Linked DNA regions of Caenorhabditis elegans. The protein of the gene in region 1 purifies or fractionates together with the protein of each later gene. This does not show direct contact. Each region holds a gene or a part of one and is shown on either strand. Other genes may lie near its edges.

Region 1 (3,931 bases):
TGATGGTCCAGGAAGAGAGGAAGACAGGATGGTGTGCAAAATACATCGGATATTTGAAGCTTCAGGGCTCGGCTCTCGGCTACCTACCGGGGGATTTGGATTGTTAAAGCAAATTGTCGAAAGGATTTTATTCATCAAAAGGTTTAATGATTTTTTCCGACGATTCAAAATGAAATTTTTAGAAATAAGTACTGAACATTCAATTGGAATTATTCAAGAAGGGAGAAAAAAGGAGAAAAATAGCGGGCCGAGTCAAAAATTATATGAAATTTTCATAGGCCAATTAATAATTGAAGAAGAAACGAATAGAGTGTTCTTTTGGAACAAAAATGTGAATAAATTACTTGTTTTTCAAAAGTTATAAGTTTCAAGTGTGTTGATTTTATAATTTTAAGTTATACTTCTAACATAAATTAGTTACCTGTCTGCCTGCCTGCCGCCTACTTGTGGGTTCTGGCACAAAAGTCGGCGATTGATGCTTGCATAGTGTAGAGTTACGCATTACTTTTTTTAAAATTATATTTCTTTGCTAGTTCAACGAAATGCACAAAATCAAATTTATTTGAAAATTTAAATGTTTTAAAATTTTAAATTGCGTGATAAATATGCCGATCTTTCACCCTTTTCATCTTTACAACACAAATAATAACCGGAATTCATAGTATTTGAAAAATAGAAAAATTCAAAAATGTACATATGTTCCAGGATAATCCAAAAAGATTGCAAGCTCCCGAAAAAAGAAACAACTTTTGTGTGAAAAGAAGAAAAAACAAACAATGAAGCGGAGAAAAAAGTTGTAGGTGCTCCGAGAGCAATCCCGTAAAAAAATAAAACAATGAAGTCGATGAGCGGAGGTCGATTAATTGATTCAGGCGTATTATTTATATATTTGTTCTCACAAATAAACGCATTAGACGGAAAAATATTAAAGTTTAAATGTGAATAAAAGTATTTTCCCTGGTGTTCCAGGTGGGTTGGAAGCTTTAAACAAAATAATACTGTTGAATATTTGCCTACGTCTGTCCAAAACTGTATTCAGACAGGAAAAGAAACATTTAGTCTAACTATTTAGATAATTTATAATATGAAAACTTTATTGGGATTTTCTATTTTCTTTGTTTGAATAAATATCCTTAAAATTCCAGAATCACTAGAGTAGACCCCTTGAAGTAGAAAATTCAAAAAACATAAAATTAATCTCGATTTTATGACGTTCTGTGTAGTTGTATTGCGGTATATTCAAGAAATTGTTTATCTTTTCAAAAAAAAGAAGAGAACATTTTTTAACAAGTCAAATACGAATTTTTTCTGTAATTGTGTGAAGTATTAAATACAATAAACTCAAGCATAATTAAAATATTTGAAAAACTACTTTTTTGACCGACTTCCAAAGTTATGTGGTGCAACTGAAAAGCTCCCAATTTTAACGGAAAATTTGAAAAAAATAAAAAATTTTGTGAAATGATTTACAATGATATTTAGTCATTTTAGCACTCCTATAATTTTTTAAATCAAGTTCCCAGCATTTTTTGTCTTCTTTATGTTTTTAACCTTTTTCTTGTCTCTGTCGCCATGTGCATTGTTTTGAATTTTGAGAAGGTTTTGCCGGTGGCGACCTGCTTGTTAACCCGCCTAATCTGACGAGAAGCAGCGACTCCTCGCAAACACAAAAGTGACCAAACAGGCGACTCCTCCTTTCCGTTCCCCCGCTAAGCATTGTTTTGAATTCATCCCCTTTTTTCCCGAATAGTCTCCAATTTCGTTGTGCACTTCTTTTCTTGATTCTTAAAGTTTTGTCTGTTGTCCTGAACAGGATGATCAGATTGGTATTCTTATTTCTACTAGTTGTGTTATCTGTGGAATTATTGGATTTTCGTTCAAATAACTATCGTCAAATTATCAATAATGCTCTTCCAACAATTGATCCACAAATGATTAGTCAAGCTCAAGCTGCAATTAATCCTTACACTGACATTTTTGTGAATCCCCCAAATAGTTTTGTCGACTTTCCAATGGCTAACATTGCGTCATCAGGTGCATTTTGGCAGCAACCACAATCTACAGTATCTCAAGTAGCATGGAATCCACCAGTTTCTACAAATCCATCATCAAGTCCAGCAGCGAGCACAATATCATTTCAAAGTTATCAGAATCCAAGTACATTTCCATCAACTACTACTGCTTCAACAACTACCTCAACTACAACTATGCCACCAACTTATCAAACTACAACAAAATCTGTCAAAAAGAACACAGAAACATTATGGACAACATCGAAGTCTCCAATGAAGTTGTCGAAGAATCCAAAACCATCGAAATTGAATCAAAAGTTAGTTAAATTTTAAGTAATATTTTAGAACACGTTTTCTCATTGAATATTTTTCTAATACATAGTACTTTCAGATCCTCAAAGTCATCAGCAACTTCTTTTGACTCCGCCCAGTTATCAGTGTTATCTCATCGACTTTTAAATGATGTTTTGATTATTCCATCTTCTCGACGACTTTATATTCTTGCAATTATTCCAATTCATCAATCTTCTGGGCAACAGGTTTTTCCCTTTTTTAATTAAAATCTTGGTTAAATCTTGGTAATCTTGGTAGTTTGAGTTTGCATTTTAAATCACTCTAAAAATTTTTACAATATTCAGAATTATCACAAAATATGCAGATAAATTTACACATGTGATACCAAAAATTCCAATTTTCACAGAATTTGTGTTTGATAAAAGTATTAATTTCAAAACGTTTTATTGAAACCTCCTTTTCTGTAGATATTAAAATTTTGAATTTCTTTACACTTTAATAATTAATAAACGAGTTCAGAACTTTGAATGCGGAGAAATCGATGTGAACGCAATTGTCAGAATGGCTGCATTTTTGGAAGCACAAAAAACTGTAAACAACCGAAATTATGAGTTTATAAAAACACGAAAAACTTACAGATAAACGAATCAAATCTTCTTAAAGAAATTGGTGTAGATATTGGAGCAATTATTGTTGATTCATGTTCAACGGATCTTCGTTCAGTTGCTGATCTTTATGAACTTTTATCGGGGACAAATATTCAAAAAAGTGATCTTATTGCAATTATTCGAGATGATTCAACATTTATGCCAAATACTGAACAGATTATAAGACAGCTCAATTTACCAGTTGTCAACACATTTTTCACAACGAGATCGGCGGTGGGTTATTCTTTTAAAGAGGAAGTTGTACTGAGAACGTTCGAAAAGAACAATTATTTCTATCAAAAAGTTGTTTCTAGGTGCAAACATCTGGAACTTTGCCATCAATGTTTCTCCCAATTCAATCAATTATATCAGCACTTCGTCATTACCAGAGTACTTGTGTTAACATTATTTTTGATGAAAAATATTCAGAGTAAGTTTGTTACTTTGTACATACTTTTGAAAAAAGTTATCTGCGTTTCAGATCCGTAAGTGAGTTCCAGCAAGTTGCTCTAACAGAAGGAATATGCGTAGAAGTCGCGATTCATGTGAAGAATGCAAGCAGTACGGTTTCAGAAATGGTGGTTAGAAGGTATGAAAATTAATTTCTAATCGTGAAAAAACTATGGCCATAATGGGACTCAAACTGAATGTTTTAAAATAAAGTTTAATGATTCTTTTTCTTGACTTGTTCAAGGCGTAGTTTACCATCCCTCTTCATATCCTGTTTTTTAAGATTACTACTATCAGAAGCTAGAATTGTAGTGGCTCTTTTATCAGAAGACACGTGGATTCAGATGACTAAAGCGCTACGCTCGGAGATGGTAAAAAGATTTCCAATTGAACACAACATGTTATTTCTAAAAACTTAAAGGTTATCGCCGGCCGTTTTGTATTTATTTCAATGCAAGATCAACGATGGACTACATCAAGGAAGTTCATTGAAAGTTGGCCGACTTTTGAGCAACATTTGATTTCGGT
Region 2 (3,931 bases), on another chromosome or scaffold:
ATTTTCAGGGAAATATGGTTTGCGATATTTGCGAGAAAGTGATCGGTGTTCTTACCACAAGACTTCTTGAAATTATACAAAAGTTTAGAGTGGAAGCTGATAAATTCCTTACGGTATTTTCAATCAAACACTAATGTAATCACTATTATATTTACAGAAACTCTGCACGTCTTTAACAAGCAATCCGAAAACTCTCACAGTTGGGACCATGTGTGTTATGTTCAAAGGAAATATTATGGACACAATTTTCAAGGGATTCGATGGACTTAAGAAGAATCTTGAACCAGTTTCATTTTGTAAGCACGTACCTTTCTGTAAATAATTGTTTTCTGTCAATTATCAACTTGTTTCTCATAAAATTATTTTAATACAAACATATTAGTAGTATATTTTTATATTTCCAAAAATTGAAGTCTAGTTACCCTGCACGTGTTTTTTGGTTTTCAAGATACATATATCTTTTTCTATAAACTTGCACAATCAATTGATGAAGTTTAAGACACGTTTGTTATCAAGTTTATTATGAACTCAGCTGACTTAAAACATTAAAAACATCCGTGTTTTTGTATACAGGCAAATTAAATTGCCGATTTTTGGTTGTTCTTTTGGCTCTGACGCTGTCTTCTTCTGGGTGGAAATTTAATTTCAATTTTTGGCTCAAAAGCTGTGAGTAAAATGTGATCGACGTTGAACAGTTTTTTTTTCCTGAAAACTGCATATACACAGCCTTAATGAATTATTTATTCAAAACAAAAGTTAGTTATTGTACAAGATAAATCGAGATCATTGAATTTTTCTTGACAATTTCTTCCATTTTGGCGGGAAATAGTCTTCTTGGTTCGCCGTTCTATTTTTCGGGAACATGTCTGGATCAAAATAGAACACGTGGCTATTGTCATCTTTTGCCAAATATCCCATCCACCATCCATGTGTTGAATATGGAACTGTCAAGAATACAACATCACAATAGATTCTTGAAAAAATAATTTGCATTTCTGGTGAAGAACTGATCAATGAAAACTGAAAAATGATAACAAATTATTAAGAAAGTTTGTACTTACTAAACTCACTTTTTCAGTTTTGTATTTTCTGATTCTCGAGTTCGTAAAAATGAAACGAGTAAATTCCGGAAACGGGCTAGCAATTATCAACATAACATCCTCATATTCATTGGTATCTGAAAACGAACGGCTAAAAATGGTCAAGTTTCAATTAATTTACAATGATTCAGAATTTGTGCAATTGCTTTAACACTGCAGTTCTTATTGCTTTCTAATGTTGCATGCACACAAATTCTGAAATAAATAAATAAAAATAAATTTTAAAATGATCAAAATGCTTACTTGAAGTTGTTCCGTTGAGATTTTGTAATCAAATTTTGTGCTTCTAGAACACTTTCGGCGTCTTCCAATACCCACAAGCGAATGTCAGAACGCAAATTATCAAAATATTTAAAACTTTTGAATCCGTTCCCTGAATAAAAAACAATAGACTTCCAAACTATATTGATCACTCAAACCTTTGACCATCAGACTTGAAGATGTGTCCTCTGAGAACTTTGTAAGAGGATCTTCGTACGAACTATTCTCGATTCCAAGTTCTCTATTCACTGCTGTTGGCTAAAAATCAAATTTATCATCATTTGAAATAATACATTTAATTGTGAAAATTTTTATAAAAATGCACTTACTGGTTCAATAGCAATTAAAAATTGTTGCAGAATCGATGGAAATCTTGTAAACATTGCGTTTGAAAGAGTATCGATTAATTTTGAATTATTAGCAGAATTGATAACTGGAATTCGATAAAGAGTTTTTGCAACACCAAGATGAGAAAGTAGAGAGAATAATTGATCGCCTAAATGGAAATTTATTTTAAAGTATGATTTAAAAGATTACTTGCCTATTTCTCCAGTACTATGCTGAAATCGAATGGTCTTCTGTCTTCGAGAATATCTTCCAAATTGTGTCCGCTTATGAGGATATAGTGAAATGATTATAAGAAGAAGCACGATAATTGATATGATGCATATGATTCTTGATGAATTTAAATTACGTCTTCTTAAGAACATAGTTGGTTGGAACTGCAAATGGCTTTCCAAATCCCCGCAAAAAATATCCAAATACGTGAGTAGTACTGATAGTGAGTACCCGTGGAGGGTCTTTGTTTGTTTTCGTTCACTAACTCACTTCAAAAATAATAATGCAAGTTTAATATTTAAAAAAAAGTAAAATTGTTGAATAAAGAATTGACTGTCATGGTGAATAGAATGTCAGTGAACAAGTTCAAAGTGATAAGAGTCTACTTATATTGACACAAAAGATCAATAAAAGGGTGTAGCACTGGAAGAAAAGGTGTTTTAAACAAACATTACATTTATTTATATATAGTTACAGCGTTTTTTATTATCTAAAAAAACTCAATTTCCAGAATATTCGTCCATTTTCAATGTTGGTTCACGTCATAAGCCATACTTTAAGCCAAGCCAATATTTACCAATGTTTAAAAAAAGGTAACAAAAATAGTTATGAGCAGTATTCAGCACTGCCATCTGATTTCGGATATCTTCTGAGTTCTACACGATCTTAAATTTCTGGCTAGATTTTACTAGTTAAATGTAACTTTTTTGAATAAGAGATAATCTGTATAAAAAAACTTTCAAATGCGATGCATTTATTCTTCCATAATTATACCACGAAAATACAATAAATACATAAATTATACAATAAAAAAACTTCAATCTATACCATCCTTTAGATCAATTGCATGAGACGATACAGGAAGAGCACCTTCGTTTCATCTGATAAATTCCAGAACACTGCCGAGTTCTTGAGGTTCTTCATTTTTTGAGTAGTGTCCACTTCACTGATAATCTTTTCGATGATTGTACGCAAATTGAATTTGTCTGCCAAACGCATCAATTGATCCTGCTTCATTTTCGAAAAGTGGCACAAATGAGTCTCGATATGAGCCGTTACACGTGGCACCTGAAATTGATCGGCCAGCTCCAACATCTTTTCCAAATTATCATCTGAAATAATGAATTCATATTAGTTTGAAGGATTGGATCACCTTTCAATAAAGCTTCATTTCCATACAAAACTGCCAGCATTCTCGAGAAATCTTCATATGAAACTTCATACATTGGGATTTCAGTCAACTTTCCTTCTTTGAAATTCGAGGAGAACAGAGCTCGAAAATATTCAGAATGGAAGCTCAGCAACTGGAAAATTATAAATATAGGACACTGCAACTGCAAAAAAACATCTTACAGCTTTATTGACATGCATCTTTGTACCTCCGATCACTAAAACGGCATCATTCCTTTCAGATGGCTTGAAAAGTTCTTCCAAAGTTAATCCAGAATAATCGGATTCTTTGTAGAAAATTTTGTACTTGAAAGGAATGTTGTACAACCAGTCTTTAGAAGTTTCCAAATTAGATGTGCTGCGTTTTTCATCAACAGAAAAATCAATGCTTGGAACCAACTTGTCGTTGGTTTCCGGGGTGATTGTTCCAAACAAATGCTTGACCCCTTTCTTCTTCAATTCGTCCCATTTTAATTCCCATTCAAATCTATACTTATTCGAAGTAGTTTCTGAGACAAACAATGAGCTGAAAAAGTATTGTATTAGCCGAAGTGGAAAAATCTTGAAACTCACACATTGATTCCTCCACAGTTTGTATCACAGAATTTTCCAAGCACTGATTTAATCGAATATTTGTCGCTGTTGACTTCAACACATTTTATCTTCATTTTTTTTCGAAGTAGTTTCGTTTCGAAGTTTCGAAGTTTTCAAATTCTAACGAAAACAATTAGCACTGATCAAAAACTGAAGAGGAAGAAAAACTCGTGGGACACGTGGAAATAAAGCCAGATGTACGCAGAACGAGTGTCACGCTATTATGGCCTGTAATTAAATTTTTTTTA

What was found.
Region 2: the proteins of C30A5.10 (region 1) and T25D10.1 fractionate together in Caenorhabditis elegans (co-fractionation; one large-scale study listed by BioGRID). This does not show direct contact.

The regions. Positions count from the first base shown.
Region 1 is NC_003281.10:8,207,730-8,211,660, reverse strand, and holds the start of C30A5.10 (uncharacterized protein), read left to right. Parts: upstream 1-1,792; 5' UTR 1,793-1,814; coding exon 1,815-2,329; intron 2,330-2,403; coding exon 2,404-2,551; intron 2,552-2,825; coding exon 2,826-2,897; intron 2,898-2,944; coding exon 2,945-3,187; intron 3,188-3,267; coding exon 3,268-3,383; intron 3,384-3,434; coding exon 3,435-3,542; intron 3,543-3,686; coding exon 3,687-3,774; intron 3,775-3,824; coding exon 3,825-3,929; coding exon of another isoform or gene 3,930-3,931.
Region 2 is NC_003280.10:6,401,831-6,405,761, reverse strand, and holds T25D10.1 (uncharacterized protein), read right to left. Parts: upstream 2,362-3,931; 5' UTR 2,072-2,361; coding exon 1,903-2,071; intron 1,858-1,902; coding exon 1,691-1,857; intron 1,620-1,690; coding exon 1,520-1,619; intron 1,474-1,519; coding exon 1,344-1,473; intron 1,296-1,343; coding exon 1,222-1,295; intron 1,178-1,221; coding exon 1,071-1,177; intron 1,021-1,070; coding exon 784-1,020; 3' UTR 722-783; downstream 1-721. Other genes in the region: spp-11 (Saposin B-type domain-containing protein), read left to right, coding at 9-113, 158-322; btb-2 (BTB domain-containing protein), read right to left, coding at 2,754-3,031, 3,073-3,223, 3,273-3,615, 3,663-3,757.